Drosophila melanogaster: one gene and its partners. The protein of the gene in region 2 purifies or fractionates together with the protein of the main gene of each other region. This does not show direct contact. Each region holds a gene or a part of one and is shown on either strand. Other genes may lie near its edges.

Region 1 (6,106 bases), 3.1 Mb from region 2:
CTGCCGCGACAAGTTCAACAACCGACTCAAGCGCGACGAGAACGACAACAGACCTCCGCCTGAAAATGAGGCCGACGAGGAGGAGCGCCGCCATTTGGCCAAACAGCGCATGCTCGGCAACGTCAAATTCATCGGAGAGCTCAACAAGCTGGACATGCTGTCGAAGAACGTGCTGCATCAGTGCATCATGGAGCTATTTGACAAGAAGAAGAAGCGTACGGCCGGTACGCAGGAAATGTGCGAGGACATGGAATGCCTGGCTCAACTGCTCAAGACTTGCGGCAAGAATCTGGATTCAGAACAGGGCAAAGAGCTGATGAACCAGTACTTCGAGAAGCTTGAACGTCGGTCAAAATCATCTGAATATCCACCGCGGATACGTTTTATGCTAAAGGACGTAATTGAATTGCGCCAGAACAATTGGGTGCCGCGCAAATTGGGCACCACCGAAGGCCCCGTCCCCATAAAGCAAATACGCTCGGATGACGACTCAATCATACGCACTCCGTTCCCCAATCGCAATCGTGATATGCGCAACAATGATCGTGACTCGGACAGCTGGATGAATCGTTTCCATCTGAATATCCAGCCTGGCGGCTATAATGACATGTTTAGCGGACTGAGTGTTACGGGAGCTTCTCCGATTGTCTCGCCGTAAGTATTGTGAACGTCATGGGAGTAATGAACACACTTTTGTCTGGTCGGGTGTATAGTTTGAATAGTAGTCACATTATATTAAATTCTTTGAAAGTACAAAACCTAATTTTAAACAATTTCAGGTTCGCTACGAGCAATCGTGACCGAGACCGCGACAATCGCCAGTACAACAATCGAGGCGATCGCAACAGGGATCGCGATCAGGGCGGTAGCGGCGGAGCTAACTATGGCAATCGCTACAACAAGCACAACCAGAATGGAGGAGGCAGTGGCGGAGGATCCTCCAACAACCGGGACCGGGATGATTCGCGTAGGAATAACGATCGTGACAGGGATCGCAATGACGGACAGTATGGGGGCAATCAGCTGCTGGGTAGTAAGGAATTGGCACCGAGGTTCAAACGCAACTTGATCACCACGAACCAGGATGCGGTGGAGAACTTGCAAATGCGCCCGGCAGCCAACTCCTTGCTCTTCCGAGCGGCCTCCCAGAACCAAAAGTTTCCGGCTACGTTGCCCATGTCAACACCGCCCAATAGCAGCGGCAGCAACAACCAGGGCAGCTCGCAGGGCCAGCTCTCGAACTCCCACTACCCTATGCTCGGCACGCCCACATCCCATCTGATCAATCCAACGCGTCCCTCGTCAACACCATCTGCTGAGTATGCTGATAACCGAACTCTTTTGGGAGTTCAACAGGAGAGGGGATTGAAGGCCACCTCTTCTTCGCCGAACTTTTCATCAGGAGCGGAGAAGTTGGATTTAGACGGTCAGGCGGGCAGAAAGGGATCGCACGACGGCAAAGATCAGGGCAAGAATGGCTCCGTGGAGAGACCAAGCACTCCGGCCGGCGGTATTGGCTCGGCCAAGCAACAAAAGAAAGATAAGGGTCCCAACAAGGAGGAGCTGTCTAAGAAGGCCAGTCAGTACTTCAAGGATAGGTTCTACTACGATGAGGAGGAGGATGCAGAGGTGACGGAAATTGAGATCAAGGATATTGATGAGACAAAGACGGAGGAGGCCGACGCTGCTCCAGTTGAAGTCTCGGAGGTAAAGGAAGATGCTGCAATACCTGTGACCACTCCAGATCGCTTCACCAAGCTTGTAGATGGTTTCCTCGAGCTTAAGCTGCCAGAGAAGGCGCTGAAGGATGTGTGCATCAATCTGCTGATGGAGGTCTTGGACCGTGTAAACGATGTCTTCTTGGAGCGTGCTGTGCGCCTTCTGCAGACATTGCGCAAGCAATCCAATATCAAGCCGAACATCGTGGTCGAGATTTTCAAGCAGGTGGTCAACAAGATGAACGAGCGAGAGGCACTCAATCCCCGAATCGTTAGTCTTGTAGCCAGCTTGCTGGCAAAGACAATTTGCGAGCCAGCATTGCTGAAGTTAAGCGATATCGCCAACTTCACGGACAATGGCCAACACTATCCGCTGTTCCTGCTCGTGCTGCAGCAACTGGTCAAGGTCATCGGCAAGGATGCGCTGGAAGAGAAATTCCGGGCGAGCAAAGTTGATCTTATGAACAGCCTGCCGGAGGCGGATCGGAACAAGGAGCGCTTGGCCGGGATACTCGAGGATCGCAAGCTTTCTTTCCTTTATCCGCTATTGAAGGTACAGGCCGAGATGCTAAAACAGCTGCAAAGCGACCCGAACCCCAACAACTTCTACAAGTGGATCAAGGCCAACGTTGACAACAAATACTACAAGGACCCGGGCTTTATCCAAGCCCTAATGACCGTGGTGGTCAAGTATGTGACCAAGGAGACGACGCTGGCGGACAACCTCGACCCCAAGGAGCACCCTGAGAAATCGGTGACCCAGAAGGAGCAACAGCTGCTGGAGAACTACAGCCAGATGCTGCAGACCTTCCTGGGACAGAACGAGCTTCAGTTGATGGCTCTCTATGCTCTGCAAACGTTCTGCTACAATGAAAATTTCCCCAAGGGTAAGTGCTCAACATTTTAAATCTAATCTGTTTTATCGGCAACTTATATTTGCTTTTTTCTTCGTTAGGCATGCTGTGCCGTTGGTTCAAGTATCTTTACGAATCTGAAATTATAGAGGAGGAGGCATTCGTCCTGTGGAAGGAGGAGATTTCCGACAAATATCCAGGCAAAGGATCCGCTTTGTTCCAAGTGAACGCCTGGTTGACTTGGCTGCAGGAGGCCGAATCTGAGGACGATGAGGATTAGAAAGCAACGCAGTCCCGCATAATAACAGCGCTATATGTTTATCACTTCCAATATTTATTCACAAATCGATAATGATTACATGATGAAAAACAACAAAACTAACAAAACACGAAAAATAAGAAACAAAATACCATCAGGGTGGAAGTTTGAAATCGCGGTTGCAAAACTTAGTCAAATTATAGTAAAAAAGAAAAACAAAACAAAAAAAATTAATCAAAATTATTTGATATCCAACAAATTCAAAGAACATTAACAATCAATTATCAATAAATAAAGCGCAATAGACGTCAAATATAACCGATATTTATCCATACATCATAATTCTCATTGACATTTCAAGCATAACGAATAATTAGTGAATTTCATCTTTTTTTTTTAACATAACAACCGGAACTGATCTTTAAATCGAATAACGTTGATTTCAATTGCCTTTTTTTGGTACTCTCGACGATTTCCCTTTTGTGTATTTAAATAAGTAGGTCAAATCAAAGCGACAACATTAACATTATAGAAAAGGAAAAACCAATCGACGCGCGCCGAAGAGAGCAAAACAAAATCTGAATGTAATTGTGAACAAAATATCGTATATATGTATTTAACTCAACCAACGTAAACATTAAAAAACTCGCCCACATTAAATAGAGCCTTAATAAATGCAACCAACACTGCGAACGGCGAAATCAAACTGACTTTCATTGGCTTTTGAGGGAGTAATGCAAATTTAAAATCCGCGCCTAAGCTCTGTAATAGCTGCCTATCGATACAATTTTCGATTATTTTGAAAAGCTATCTATGGTCGTTTCGTTATCTGGCAACACCGCTCCGGTCAAACTTGCTATTTCATTGTTTTCCTTGTGAATATTGCTTGTTTATGTATAAAATTCACGACTAATGGATAGCGTTCCTGCGAATGTTGTGCCTGCGAAGGAGTCTGGTGGTTTCACCTCACATTGCGTCCACTTGGCGGCGGGTCCCTCGCAATTCACCGTGCGCGCCCTGAAAATGCAAGGCAGCACCATGCTGATCATAAACCCCAAGGGATTGGAGGTTTTCGAGGAGCTAGCGGTGGCCATGCCCTCTCGCAATCCCGCCAGCAGCCAGTCCCTATCCTCCACAATCCTGGGCGGACACGGGCAGACCGACTCATCTGTTCTGGCCGCCAAATTGAGTAAACGCTACTGCCGCCAGTTCTACGTGAGCCTTAATCTCAAACTGGATCGATTAATGGGCCCTCTGTTCGAGAAGACGCTAGTCACCTACATGCAAGACCATCTGGAGCACTTCGCTTGAGTGGGTACAACAACTTAGTGTGGCATAAATTTAATCCTCAATCGCTGACTTATTTCTGGTTCACGTGCACACAGGGCCCGCCTGCGCTACCGATGACACGGCGCCGCGTGGGGGTCAACGTCTATTTCGGGGACCGGCGGCTACCCCACGGACGCAGCTTCACGTACTCTACGCACTCCATCAGCTAACTATCTGGGATCTCCGATTCCCGATCTCCGCTCAGACGTCATGCGGCGGCCGAGTGAGCACGAACTTTAAACGTGTATCGGTGATACGAATTTTGTACAATAAATTTATTGCCCTAAGTAAGTTTACAGACGCATGTGGGCTTTATCAATTGTGTCGCGATAGCAGTGCTCAATGTAAGAAGAAGTCACCCGCTGTGTGAGTGATCGCGTGCCACCCGCATGCTATTCATGCTGCTGCTTCACCACCCAATGATTTGAAGGTCAGTTTGGCTGCAGTGATGATCGCTTGATAGGTGATTTCCCCGCCATCGTATTAAATTCGAATATACATATGTGTGTGTTCGCATTGCGCCGGTTTGTTCATCAGGCCTCCGTTTCGGTTTCCCTTTCGAATGAATGTTTAGGTTTAGGGAGAAGTTAATATGTAATAATCATTCGGAAGTTTTCCAAATGGGTACCATTTCAGTTTGATCACTGAATACCTCTGACAAATAATATCATTAGATTTGTTTTTATGTTGTTAATTTGAACTATTCGAAAAGTTAGTAGGATACCACTATCAAATGTATGTATTAACTAGCGGGTTTACAATTCACAATGTGATTAACAAGCTTCTAAATTTGTGTGAATAATACTGGTTGAAAATATTATATCTCTTGTTACAGTTCGTTTAGCTTTTGAAAAAATGATATTGGTGATGACTGACTATAGGAACTCTCAACTTTACTAATTACCCACGAGCAAAAAGTTGATGTCACTTCCTGCATGAGTTCCCAATTATAATGATTGCGATATCCAAAATATCCAAGTCACTATTCACTATTTCAGAATGGTTCTATGTCACAGAAAGTCTGCAACTTGAACAGTTTGATACTCAGGTATAGATAGTTGAAGGACCAACGCGACACCTTCATAATGCCCTTTATCTATCGGCATTCTCAGACTGAAAGTTGGCTATACTTCCTGCCCGCCAATCGTAAATATAAATCGGTTGATAAGACGTCTGAATTACCCCCGCCAAGAATGCCAGTCATATTTTTAATGGAACAGCCCCCAGCAGCGTTGTGCTATGGTTGTGTTGGATCACACCGCCTGGAGGTGCCATTGAAACTTTTCCGCTAAACAACCCAATGGGAGGGAGGGAGCAGCAACAAAATGAAAAACACTAATGTACGAAAAAAACAAATTTCGCCTCTCATAATAATGCCCAGTCTAGACGAGATATTGTCAGGCGTATCAGTGGTGGTAACAGCGACAAGAGCATATCGCTCCAAAAAAAAAATAGCAGCACCCATTGAACGGGTATAAAAATAGAGCTTCAGCCGGAAGGTCTGCGCTCCGGGGTCTGTGGGCTCCCACGAATGTCTGGAATGTTTTTTTCCCCCGTTTTTTTTTTTCTGCTTTTGGTTTCCCCAGTTGCCTAATAACTTTTCCTTTTTGGCCATATCAAAAGCTGTCTGGCGATAAGCGCCCTATAAATAATAGATCCGAGTCGGCCGAATTCGAGCAGCCATCTGTAATTATCGGGTCGGAATGTGAGTGCGAGTAGTTGTGGCTTCCATGCCTCGGTTGCATGTCCCTGGCTTGGATGACTGGCTGGCCCGGCTGGCGGTACATGGACTTTGGAAGTCTATCGTTGGCGGCAACAAAGTAATTAGCCTTCTGCGGGACTACCATAGTCATATCAGCGCCCCCAGTGGGTTCCCACTGCAGCGATAAGCCGGCTGGACTACGCGTGGAACCTTCTCCGCGGCGGCTGCTGCTGCTATTTCTGCT
Region 2 (6,688 bases):
GCCTGCTCCTTGTCGAAAGCGATCCCAATCATGCAGGAAGCGAGATCCGCACACAGCACTATCTTTCCGTACTCGTTGATCTGCAGAGGGACATTCGTGGAGCGCAGTTCCAGGAGGCGTACTAGTTCGGTGGTTTTCCTGAAAGGATTCGATCTTACTGGGTAAACCTTTAAAACTATTTATTTATCGCTTACTCTAGCACGTTTGGCTCCTCCCTTAGGCCCATTTTCGTAATTAACTGTTCTATTAAGGTAGTCATTGTAGTTATTAACAATAGACTGAAATTCCAGTCGTGCGTCGTTAAAACCAAAATAAAGTACAACAAATGGCGCGAAATGCATCAGCTGTGAGCGATAAGGTTTTTCTTTGTAGCAATCGAGGTTTAATAGCTGCAGGCACATTCAAAAGGAACCAGATCCGATAACCAGCGAGCCAATATATTTATATCGAACGATAACTATTAAAGAATGAGAGTATAAAAATATAAAAACCTTAAATTTCACCCGATTTTGTTTATTCATTTTGCGCTTTAGGGAAATATAAAATTAACATTATGTATGAGGCCCAGAATTAGATTCACTGGCACACAAACGAACTAGTGCGTCTCATTGTCGCTGTCTTCGTCCTTGTTGGCCGCATCGCCGGCTTTCCTCGCCTTCTCCGTCAGTTCTGAGGGATTTATGAGATGTAGGCCACCGGTTACCCTGCCCACCAAACCCATTTCGAAGCGGAAGTCCTTGTCCTTCAACTCGTCATGGACTTTGTAGATGCTAAGACATAGGATAGATATGTTAATTATGAATAAAAACCTAGATTCTAAGTGCAATAGATGTCCCAAAAATGCTTCCTATTGTCAGAGCAAGTAAGTTTCCACTCGGAACTAGGATAAAGCCCGCCCGATTTTTGAAACAGTCCCTTTTTTTTGCTGTAAACGTACATTTCACCAGCGCTCTCCACCAATTCGTCGGTCCTCATATCCATCTTGAGCTTCTCCATCTCAGTCTTGGCCAGCTGCTTGGCCTTGCCGCTGGCGCAGGCGAAGTAACCGAAGGAGGAGCCGGACGGCTCGATCTTGTAGAGCTGTGGCCCCTCTACTTCGTCCCAGGAGGCGAGAATGATGGAAAGTCCGAAGGGGCGGACGGCACTGTACAGAGTGTAGGCGTGAACGTAGCCGGCGACTCGGTGGCACAGGTGTTTAAGCGGGATAGCCTGCTCAAATTGCTGTCTGTAGTTGGCTGCCTCCTGACGCGCAATGTCAGCCACAAAGTTTCCATCGGCCACCAAGCCGGCCACCGCCATTCCGATGTTCTTTTCGATGGTGAAGATGCGTCCGCCGGCGTCTGGTTCGTACAGTTTACTGGTGATGATCTTCTCCACGGCCAGCACCACGGCGTCCTTGCCCCGAATCCCGATTACGGTGCCGCTCTTCTCCACCGCCTTTGAGGCGTAGTCGATCTGGAAAACGCGGCCATCAGGCGAAAACTGCGAGGCCGACAAGTCGTACTGGAAGCGAGAGGGTGACGTTAGGGATCTGCAGATATGTAGTTCGCTGACCACTTACTCCAGTGCCAATAGTACTCATAGCGAAGACTTTGTGAAAATTTAAACAATTCAAACGCAAAAATTAGTTTAATTCCTTGGGTCGAATGCGACGATGATTTGACGGCTTTTACTTGGCTAGTGGTGGACAAAACAAAGGGGCCTATCGGTCAAGGAGGTTCGATAGTTTCGGAACGACTATCGTCAATAAAAACCAATCGTATACCAATCGCGATTTTTTCAGATAAAATTCGAATGATTAAAAATAAATCACCAATTCATGGTACTTTATTTATTTAGCACAGTTGAAGTTAATATCATTCTTTTCTTTTCTACTTATACATTTCGAATATCCCCTTACATGCTCTGTAAAGTAACATTTCGAACTAGTTCCGTTCATGTTCTGATCCGCGGCGCACGCGGTTTTTGTATTTATAAACAACGAAAATCATGCTGGCGGGTATCAGCGAGAAAAGGTAACATAAACTTAATAATTACCTGATGATTGCAAGACTACAACAATTTTAAAATCCAGCTATGCGGCGGAGGCCCGCTACACGAACTTCTACGCCGGCGGCGACATCGCCTGGAGCCCGAATGGCCATCATCTTTACTGCCTCAATGGCTCAGCTGTAAACCAGGTGGATGTGCAGACCTCCCAAATCCTAAATAGCTACGGCTTGTCTTCCCCGTCGGCGGATAACAAGAGGCCGGCGGAGCTGGACAATATCGATGTGGAGGAGGATACGATTACTTGCTTCGGGCTGTCACAGGAGCATCTGGTTACTGCCCATCGAAGTGGCCTGCTTAGGCTGTGGCAGCTGGACACTGGGAAGCTGGTGAAGCTGTGGAAGGCGCAGCACAAGGGACCAGTCATCCGAGTTGAGTTTAGTCCCTGCGGCAGGCTTATCTGCACCAGCGGCGGTGCAGATGCCACACTGAGGCTGTGGGACTACTCGAACAACAGCTGTCTGGGTGCCCTCAAGGATTTCCCTGGTCCCGCTTGGCTCCTCGTCTTTCATCCCAATGTGCTGCGCAAAGAGATCTACGCCGGAGGTTCGGATAACACTGTCTATGCCTGGAACTACGAGACGAAGACACTTGTGCACAAGATGCGAGGTCACCTGTCGCAAGTCACCGGCTTGAGCTTTAAGAGCAACGCGTCCGACTGCAATGAAATCGTGACTGTAAGCCGGGACAAGGTTATGATCGTGTGGCAATTGCAGGAGCAGTTGGAAAGCAAGCAGTTGAAGGTTCTTCCCTTGTACGATGAGCTTGAGGGAGTCGTGTACGCAGACGAGGGACAACTGATAATCGTGGCGAGCGGATCGGGCAAGCTGCAACAGGTCGACCCTAAATCTTGGAAGATCAGGGATATTCTTTCTCAATCTGATTTCCAAATTAGTAGACTGCTGCACTGCAGCGAGCTAAAACAGCTGGCCCTGGTCACTACAGAGCAGAATATTTTGGTCTACGACGTTGAAACCCTGGAACCCATTAAACACTTGGTGGGTTACAACGACGAGATCCTAGACATGTGCTTTATGGGCGAACACGATCGCTACCTGGCCGTTGCCACCAACAGCAAGCACTTCAAGCTGTACGACACGGAACACGACATGAATTGCAAGCTGATCGTGGGTCACTCGGATACGGTAATGTCCCTTGCTGCATCCCAAAATCTGCTGATTTCGGTGGGAAAGGACTGCAGCGTTCGGCTTTGGAGGCTTCAGCACGACAAAGATTGCTCGCTTGAGGCTCTGACTCAACAGGCCAACTGCCACACGTCCACTATCGGTTGCGTGGCCATGACGCACAACGGAGCTACTGGCTTTGCATCCGTGAGCCAAGATGGCAGCATGAAGGTATGGCAGCTCGTCAGAAGTAAGGAGGATCGCAACTCGTACTCTTTCAACCTGCGCTACGCAGCGCTTTCCCACGACAAGGAGGTGAACTGCGTTGCATATGCTCCGAATAACAAGCTTATTGCTACCGCGTCGCAAGACAAGACGGCTAAGGTGTGGCTGGCGGAGTCCAACACGCTGCAAGGAGTGTTGCGGGGACACACCCGCGGTGTGTGGAGTGTGCGCTTCTCTCCGGTGGATCAGATCGTGCTCACCTCATCGTCGGACTGTACTCTCCGCATCTGGTCCATCAGCAATTTTTCGTGCATAAAACGTTTCGATCAGGAGTGCACCATACTGAGAGCCGAGTTCCTGGATCACGGCAAGTTCATTATCTCCGCTGCTTCGGATGGCCTTCTTAAGCTGTGGAATATCAAGACCAACACATGTCTGCAGTCCCTGGACGAGCACAACGATAGGGTTTGGGCGCTGGCCGTATCCGCCAGGAGCAATCGGTTCTTTTACACCGGCGGCGCGGACTCCAAGCTGATTCGCTTCGGTGATGTCACTCAGGTGACGCGAAACGAAGCGCTGGACAAGCGGCAGGCCGCATTGGAGCAGGAGCAGACCCTACATTCCCTTCTGCACGCCCAGAAGCAGCTTCACAAGGCCTTCGTGTTGGCTCTGAACCTGGACAAGCCCAAAGCCAGTTTCGATATTATCAACCACTTTGTCCGCAAGCGAGATGAGCCCGGTCTCCGGCAATTGGTTGACCAGTTGAACGTTGACCAGCGGGTTGCGCTGCTGCAGCACGTCAAGGCATGGACCACCAACTCGCGCCATTCGCAGGCGGGCAACATGATCCTCAAGTACTTGATCGGAGATGCTCTTCTGGATCCCAAGGCGAGGTTCTACTACAATGGCAACATGGTCGAGGTACTCACTCCGTACGTCCAGAGACACTTTAAGCGGGTCACCGAGCTGAACAAGGATCTGGCTTTCCTAGAGTTCATTGTCAAGTGCATGTAGGCTTTAGCTTCGGAGCCGTTTCATTCATGATTGTTAACTTAATTCAGTTTAATTAATTTTAGGAAAAAAATAAAGTAGATAACCATACATTACATATTTGTTTCGAGATGTTTAATCACCAATTTCACACTACAAAAACCAGGGCGTTACTTTTTATTTTGTATAACGTTTATTACACAATAGTTAATATAACATTAATAACCACTTACGTATTTACTAGAGGGGGAATCTCGACACAGGTGTTTGCGAATTAAAAATTCCATAATCGTACAAATTTGATTCAAATGACTTGCGGGAAAAGCCCTACGACAAATTTACAAATATACTTGGGCACGAACTTATGCAATCCGATATATTTTGGCAGGGACAGCTAAAAAATTTGACCAGTTACTCATGGTCGATTGATCCTGGAAACACGGAAACATGAATGATTTTGATTCATATAAAAATAGACACAGGCGACTTTGGACAGTTTTATGATCAATCGAACTGACAGAGTCCCTAAGATTATCACTGTTTTCACTTAATTTTACATTGGGTGTGTGCGGTGGCAGCTTAGACAATGGACATTTTGATCCGGTGGCACTGTCTATTCGATAATCATAATGAGGTCCTCGCCCTCCAGCTTCGTTCCGTTGGCAATTTCCAGCTTCTTGACAACGCCCGCCAATGGCGACTGCACCACCATCTCCATCTTCATGGCCGAGAGCACGACCAGAGGCTGACCCTTCTCCACTTTGTCGCCAACCTTCACGCGGATATCGATGACAGTTCCGGGCATGGGGGCGCCCACCTCGCTCTTGTTCGACTTGTTCGCTTTGGGATGGACATGGATCTCCTGCGGAAGAAGAGCAAGCAAATGATTCCATTGCCTAAAGATCACCGATGACTGCTGACTGAACCTACCTTAACGGCTTCCTTGTCCAGGATGTGGACCGCGCGCAGCTGGCCATTCAACTCAAAGAATACCTCGCGGATACCGTTGGGCTTGAGATCGGCGGACACAGCCAGAGCTTTCACGCTCAGCGTCTTACCGCGCTCCAGAGGTACGTCGAACTCCTCGCCCACCTTGGGACCCGTGAGGAAGATGCGAGTGTCCAGCTTGTCGACGGGTCCGTACTTTTCGCGGAAGTTTAGGAAATCATTCGTCACCTGCGGGTAGAGGGCAGCTGACATGACATCACGGTTGGTGACGCAGGTGTGAGACTCCTGCAGTTCCTTCTTCAGCTTGTCAAAGTCCAAGTCCTTCAGTTCGGCTCCCGGACGTCCCTCGATGCGGGGCATGTCCTTGAGCACTCGCGAACGCAGCGGCTCGGGGAATCCGCCGTGCGGAATGCCAATAGAGCCCTGCAAGTACTCCACCACCGACTTGGGGAACGACAGCTCCTCGGCCCGCTCCAGCACTTGATCGGCGGTCAGGTCATTCTGCACCATGAACTGGGCAAGATCACCTACCACCTTCGACGAGGGCGTCACCTTGATAATGTCACCCAACAACAGGTTGGCCTCACGGTAGGCCTTCTTAACGTCCTCGAAGAAGTCGCCCAGACCCAGCGAGAAGGCCTGGAACTGCAGGTTGGTGTACTGGCCGCCGGGAATCTCGTTGAGGTAGACATCGGCGTTGCCCGACCGCATTGTTGTGGTGCACTCGAAGGGAGCGTACAGGGTGCGGGTCTGCTCCCAGTAGGCGGAGTACTCCGACACCGTGCGCAGATCCAAGTTCGTGTCCAGCGGAGTGCCTTGCAGGGAGGCCACTACGGCACCCATGCTCGGCTGGGAAGTCATGCCGCTCATGGAGTCGACGGCCACGTCCACCACATCGGCTCCGGCATTGGCGCATGCCAGCATGGAGGCCACTCCCGCTCCAGAGGTGTCGTGGGTGTGGATATGGATTGGGATGTCGGGGTGCTTGTCACGAATGGCTGTGATCAGAAGCCTTTCAGGGGATGGAAACAAAATAGTACACAACAGAAAAAAATTAAAAACCCCTTCAGACTCACCTGGCGGATTCGGGCTTGAGCAGACCAGCCATATCCTTTATGCAGAGCACGTGGGTGCCCGCCTTGACCAGCTCATCGGCAAGGTTAGTGTAGTATTTCAGATCATACTTGGTGCGCTTGGGATCGCTGACGTCTCCGGTATAGGAGATGGCAGCCTCCACCACGCCGCCCGCCTTTCCAGCGGCTTCCATGCCGAGGATCAGGTTGGGCAGGTAGTTGAGCGAGTCGAACACCCTGAAGATGTCCATGCCGGTCTGCACAGCCAGCTCACAGAAC
Region 3 (6,803 bases), on a different chromosome or scaffold from region 2:
GGTTTGTGTTCTCATATACCAACAGTGCTACATGCGTGCCCTTTTCACATACAATCCATCCGAAGATTCCTTGCTGCCATGCAGGGATATTGGATTGCCCTTCAAGTCGGGCGACATTTTGCAGGTGAGTTGGTCAGAAAAAAAACAACCCATCTAGTTATCCTGATCAATGTACATCATCCTGGCATTGCAGATCATCAACGTAAAGGATCCCAACTGGTGGCAGGCCAAGAACATTACTGCCGAATCTGACAAAATTGGACTCATACCATCCCAAGAGCTGGAGGAGCGGCGCAAAGCCTTCGTGGCCCCCGAGGCGGACTACGTTCACAAGATTGGCATTTGCGGAACAAGAGTGAGTTTTCATAGTATCGCAATGGGCACCCAGTAAACATTGTGTGTTGCAACAGATCTCGAAGCGAAAGCGCAAGACCATGTACCGATCTGTGGCCAATTGCGAGTTCGACAAGGCGGAGCTGCTGCTCTATGAGGAGGTCACGCGGATGCCGCCGTTCCGCAGGAAAACCCTGGTTCTCATCGGTGTTTCCGGGGTGGGAAGACGTACGCTCAAGAATCGGCTGATCAACAGCGATGTGGACAAGTTCGGAGCGGTCATTCCACGTAAGCACAATTTAAGCTATCATTTTGGATATGAATATTCATAAATGCATTGTATTCGCGGAACCACTTCAGATACCAGTCGCCCCAAGCGCGCCTTGGAGGAGAACGGCAGTAGCTACTGGTTCATGGACCGCGAGGAAATGGAAGAGGCCGTGCGGAACAACGAGTTCCTGGAGTACGGCGAGCACAATGGCAATCTGTACGGCACGCATTTGCAGTCCATCAAGGATGTGATCAACAGTGGGCGCATGTGCATCCTGGATTGTGCACCGAATGCCCTGAAGATCCTGCACAACAGCCAGGAACTGATGCCTTTTGTCATCTTTGTGGCAGCGCCTGGCATGGAGCAGCTCAAGACCATCTATGCGGATCGCAGGGCCACGGGCTCCAACCGGAATTTATCTGTATGTTTCACGTAGCCCCCTAGACTAGGCACTCCTCTAATGCGAGCACATATTCCACAGTTTGATCGCCAGAGTTCCATAAGATTCAGCTCCAGACGCGCCCGTACGCTCGAGTCCCTAGCGTCGTTGTATGAGGTAATGTGCCCTGACCTATCCTTAATTACAGTGTCGTATAAATTGTGCTCAACTCAATCATCCGCTTGGCGCACCTAGGCCACCCTAGTAGCCCTGTTAGATCTCTGCCTGAATACCCAAACATTGCTTAACACATTCGCTTTCTATGACTTTTCCGAACAGGACGACGACCTTGTCGCCACCGTCGAGGAGAGCAGCTTCGTCCAGCGCAAGTATGAGAAATACTTCGACATGGTCATCGTGAACGAGGACTTCGATGAGACGTTCCGCCAGGTGGTGGAAACGCTGGATCAGATGAGCCACGAGGAGCAGTGGGTGCCTGTCAACTGGATCTACTAGAATCCCATGACCCTTTGCAATTGCGCCTTTATGCATATTGAAGAATATATACTATAAAAATCGAATGCCTATCATCACAATTAAAGGGATAATTCCAGTAATTGAAGCTTAAACTCGCAACACAATACAAATTTAGCGAAGAGCATTTAAAACGCTAGCGATTTCAATATTTATTGTTGATTAGACGTGTTTTGCTTGAGGAATGTAATGCGTTTTATTAACTATGTTTATCTCAATTACTGTCATTTTCCTCTTTAAATATAAATCATGTATATATGCAATGTTTGTATAAGTTGAAATGCGCCCTCCGTTTACAATTCAGTTTTCCTTAAGTATAAGCCTAATTTTACGAAACGAATTCGTCCATTTTACCATCTCTTGTTTTATTTTTACAAATAATGAATGATGTCAACGCATATCTCTTCAGTTTATTATTTTAACGAATCTCCTCAGTACAACAACCTTCTGCCAATATTTTCGTGTAGTTTTTAGATTTGTTTGAATAAAATGTGTAAGTTTAACGAACTAGTTAAATGTATTGATGTGGAGTTAAACAAACGAAATACGAATAAATTTGGCTCAAAGAAATGGTGAATTTTGTTTACCTCTAGCTGGTCGCACCAAAATATATTTTATTTGCTGATCTTAAGAGTGTCTTAGAGTTTAAAGGCTGAATGCCAGGCATTTAGCAACTTCATTTGCAGGGACTTATTGGTAAATTCCCAGAGATTTCTCCACCACAGCGTGGGGCTGACGCATATGCTCGCTGTTCTCGGGCAAGTTCATGAAGTCCTCGAAGCCAATGGAATCACAGCGGCCAGTCAGGACATCGTCCATGAAGTTGCTGCAATATAAAGGAAAGAATTAATATAGAAGATAAGTAGTCATTGCTGGGTTTTCGGTAATAATGGTACTATGGGAATCACAGGTATACTTGGTATACACGTATGTATGTATGTACGTATATAGGTATCCATTATTAGGCAAGAAGTTTAGATTTTCTAGATTGTAGGATATCTCAGGTTTCTCCGGGATTCTTATAATGTGGAAACAGAAGATTTCTGAATGCTTCCGCCCTTGCAGAGATTCCTGTCCAGACTGAGAAGCTCCCAGACCGGGCTAGATGCTCACCTGGACGAAAGGAAGGGCAGGCGGCCCACCTGACGTGCGGCGAAGCGCTCCATGCCCATCTTGAGGGGCACGCCGAGGCCCTCGTGGTTGCGCAGCATCTGCATGTTGCGGTTGTACTGGTGCTCGTTGTAGTTCAGCTCCGAGTCGCGCAGCCGGTGGACGTGGGCCAGTTGGTTCAGGCAGTTGGCCTCGGTGGGCATTCCCACACGGCCGGTGGCGTTCAGCACGGACACCTCGGCGGGCTGGACTTTCAGTGATGGCTGATACTGTATTGCGAGGGGTTTTCGTTTCGTTAGCGGCTCTACTAAATGCACTCGGCGAGGTACTTACCATATTCGTAAGCGCTTTTAGAATAAAAATGCGGCGAATTATAATTGTTTCTTGAATGACAAACAAATTCCGTGCGAATTAGAGCTGGTACTTGTGTCGATGCCTACTCGATATCGACGATAATTGACAAGATAATCGAATAGAAAGCAACTTATCGACTAGAATAGAATCCAGTAGTGTAGAAACCAGACTGGCAACTCTTTACATGTGTAGAAATCAGGATGGCAGCTCCAGACAATGCTAACATGGATTCAATCCATTTTGACCCACATAAATTTTAGCTCGGTTTCAAACCATTGCAGGGTACAAAAATGCGGCATGTCCGACAAGTGAATTTCGATTTGAAATTATGAACTCCAAATTTTCCAATCCAATTTGATTATTTAAACAAAATATTTCTATATATATAGCAACAACGCAGCACTATTTGAAATACACTTTAATTGTAATCGTGTTGATGGGTAAAAGTCGGTCTATGCAAATTGGCGTTATTAGCGCACTTAACACTTCGGTCAAGTGACGAACTTGAGTGTTGTGATTAATTACACCCTCGCTGGCCAGCAACGCACATCCGAAATATACAAACGTATCGATCTCGGCCGCAGCTCTAATCAATTCGATCAACAAAAGAACTGAATCCGCTGGCTGGCTGGCCGGGGTTTTGTTTTTCTTTTCACCCACACCTTTTAGCGGCTTTTATGATCTTCTGCTCCACAGAGACGCGATTCATTTGCATCGAGTGACAAACGCGAACGAATGCGAATGCGAGGAGACCAAATCACACGACAGGGCTTAATTAGTGCATGGTCACTAATAAAGATTCGGCCAGTGGATGTTGTGTTAATCAAACTCCCGCACACAATAGCCCAAACTGTCTCCGGCCAACCGATCCGATCCTATCCAATCTGAACTTGAAAATCCAAATGGAAACATCAACCGGATGGATGGATCTTCACCTTCACTTTAGACTAAAAGGTAGTACGTAAATTATGATTTATGCCCATTTACTGAATTTTACAGTGCGAAAAAAGCGAACTACATTCCTGCTTTGTAATTTACAACTTTAATCATTTTAATATTGGTATGGATGAGCATTGCAATACAAAGTCAAATAGTTTATAGCATGTATAGCTATAGTATTGATACAAAAACGTATTAGATAATTTAAAAGATCAGCCCTATTTTTAATGAATGAATTCTATATTAAGAAACTGACAAAATGATAAGTAAATTTAATCAGCAGACAATTCGAGAATTTACAATAAGAATATCGCAACGGGCATATTTATGGCGTCGAGTTGATAAAAATATCGTTAGTTTTTATTACTTTGAGATGCGATTCTTTCGGATGCAACTTATGGTGATTTAATCTATAAGTCTATAAATAAATTAAGTTAGAATAAACACAAATTACTCGCATCGATTTTAGCTTACTAGCATCGTTCCTTTGACTTATTTGTTAATACAATCATTTCAGTTCCCTGTGAATTTTGCCGCTTGAAGAGTTCAAAAGAACTCATACCACGATTGATTTATAACGTTTACTTTCTGTTTTACTGCCTTTGACCAATTAATACACAGTAGACCAGTACGAGGCGAATCAACCAATTCAGTCAGTCCAATATATGGCCATAAGGATGGCCAAGAGCCAACTATGTATGGTCGAATGGAGATGGAGATCTCAGGGCGAGAAGATCGATATGTAAAAGTCAAATAAAAATATAACGTCGAGAATTAACATTTTTTCACAGCAATAAATGCATAAAAGTCGAAGATGTGTATTCAAAAAAGAGAAGAGTCGTGGGTTCAACTAGGGGACTCTTCAGATGAGGGAATTCCTTTTAAAACAGCTTGATTGGGCTGATATTTCTCTTCTATTTTATACGCACTCAGAGAAATTAATGGGTAAAAGCAAGAGATTCCAAAAGATGATCAATAGATGATTTCTTTAAATTGAAGTACAAAATAAAAGGATGTTTCTTCAGCTTTTCAAGAGTTATTTAAAGGCATCCGAGGGCACGATTTCCCTCAGTGCACCAGTACACCCATTTCTGTATGACGTATATGGTATAAAATTTACAATCTTCTGCAGGCCGTCTCCGCTGGATGCTGCCCTCCGTCCGCCATTGTCGTCGCTAATAGAGACATACAACCTCCACTGGGAATTGATCTTGGATCGAATCGAAAGAGCAGGAGGCTTCGTTAACGGCACCAAAAGTTCGAATGTTTCGTTACTTTTCCCGGCTGCCATAAACTTTTATGGCTGCAAGACGCAGCGGAAGACGAGGACAATGGGTCTTGGACCTGGGATCGGGATTCGGCGATCAGAGAACAGGGAGCAGCTGTAAGCAGATGGTCGTCGAGATGATTGGGCATTATGCCGGACCAGGCCCGGGGCTATCCGGTATCTTTCTTTTTTTTTATAACCATAGGGGTCGCTGCCGCTTTGACGAGCCACCTCCTCTGGGTGCCAATTAAGATACGAGGAACTGGGCTGTAGCTGCGGCAGTATAACCGAGCTGGACCCTATTAGCAGCCATATTGCCAGGTACTGAACGAAATGTTGAGTTTAAGAAATCGAAGGATTTTAATGATATAATAATATAATATTAAGTAACATATAATATGAAATTCTTATTCTTGGAACTCTTAAGAAATATACATTGCACATGAGAAAAGAGAAAAAATGTTGGATCTTAACATACTCCCTCAAATATGGAATATAATTGTTTAAGGTTTTTAATACATTATTTAGTTTTCTGTACTCTCTTTTTTCTGTGCATGGGCACAATAAACGAATATCCCGTTCGTGAGTGATCTGAGTAAGATCGCTCCGCACTTTTATGGCTCCCATTCGCTAGGATCCCCCTCCGCCATTGGCTTCTCGTGAATCGAGATACTCTGGGCCATAAATCAAGCGGCTGAGTGAGGAGAGATGGCCAGTTTCGGCGATGCACTTCATCCATTTTTGAAAATGCCAGGACATAAGGACATGCTGTAATCCCAAATTGAAATGGCGGACGCAAGACATAAGCTGTGAATTCGGCGTAATTTTGGCAGCGGCATGTGTAATGCAGTAGCCAGGAAAAATAGAGGGTGTACGAAAACAAAAGGCGTCGGCAAAAGTCAAAAACCATTTCGATACGCCAGGATGACCAAAGGCCAGCGACCAGAATGGAACGGGTTGTGCCGCCGAGTTCCACCAAATCGGGGATATATATATATACATATACATATATACACGCAATGCATATCTCTGCCGATCTCCCGACATGTGCATGTGGCGTAACCGAAACAGAAACAGAAACAAATGCAAACACACACTGCAGTCGTCCGCTCCCAATTTGGTATGTATTTTTTAGCGTGTAGGTGTGAAAACGGAGTCCACTTCCTTTATCGGGGGAATGTGTTTTGGGTTTTTTGCTTTATTTCTGGTGGTTGCCGGTGCCTCCCCGGGAGGGGGTATTTTGCATCTTGGCTGACACACAAGTCCAAATATTTTCAGTGCGAAATGAAAACGAAATAAAACCCTGACTCCGCTGCTGTTTAATCTAAAAACGTTTTCCGATTCGGTCACGGTCCTGTTCGATTGGAAACCCGCTGTATCAAAATCTGGACAGGTCGTATATTTTACCTCGCATCGGCTTGGACATTTCCGATTCTGCTAATCGCAGGTCCTATAAATCAACCCCTTAAGAGCCGCAGCCGGGTACAATCTCTCTAGGCGGTGCCATACTAGACTATAAGTGCTAGTTGTGTACTATACCATATATGTACGATCCGATCGTCTGGCACTTTAGATCGCCATGTTTGTTGTGACGGGCATTCCTTGCATTCCATCTA

The links. Proteins that work in one complex are often made in the same cells at the same time.
Region 1: the proteins of Prosalpha7 (region 2) and CG13319 purify together in Drosophila melanogaster (affinity purification with mass spectrometry, with the first as the bait; one large-scale study listed by BioGRID). This does not show direct contact.
Region 3: the proteins of Prosalpha7 (region 2) and Pomp purify together in Drosophila melanogaster (affinity purification with mass spectrometry, with the first as the bait; one large-scale study listed by BioGRID). This does not show direct contact.

The regions. Positions count from the first base shown.
Region 1 is NT_033778.4:12,920,206-12,926,311, forward strand, and holds CG13319 (uncharacterized protein), read left to right. Parts: upstream 1-3,698; 5' UTR 3,699-3,743; coding exon 3,744-4,142; 3' UTR 4,143-4,146; intron 4,147-4,216; 3' UTR 4,217-4,459; downstream 4,460-6,106. Other genes in the region: NAT1, read left to right, coding at 1-654, 780-2,605, 2,674-2,852.
Region 2 is NT_033778.4:9,846,136-9,852,823, forward strand, and holds Prosalpha7 (proteasome alpha7 subunit), read right to left. Parts: upstream 1,702-6,688; 5' UTR 1,583-1,701; coding exon 1,562-1,582; intron 1,504-1,561; coding exon 938-1,503; intron 771-937; coding exon 596-770; 3' UTR 501-595; downstream 1-500. Other genes in the region: Orc6 (origin recognition complex subunit 6), read right to left, coding at 1-138, 195-259; CG1671 (uncharacterized protein), read left to right, coding at 1,990-2,015, 2,075-4,412; PCB (pyruvate carboxylase), read right to left, coding at 5,002-5,250, 5,319-6,348, 6,413-6,688. UniProt on the Drosophila melanogaster protein: The proteasome is a multicatalytic proteinase complex which is characterized by its ability to cleave peptides with Arg, Phe, Tyr, Leu, and Glu adjacent to the leaving group at neutral or slightly basic pH.
Region 3 is NT_033779.5:20,783,943-20,790,745, reverse strand, and holds Pomp (pomp), read right to left. Parts: upstream 3,091-6,803; 5' UTR 2,964-3,090; coding exon 2,961-2,963; intron 2,897-2,960; coding exon 2,631-2,896; intron 2,344-2,630; coding exon 2,208-2,343; 3' UTR 1,648-2,207; downstream 1-1,647. Other genes in the region: vari (varicose), read left to right, coding at 26-124, 194-355, 411-621, 694-1,025, 1,086-1,160, 1,323-1,499.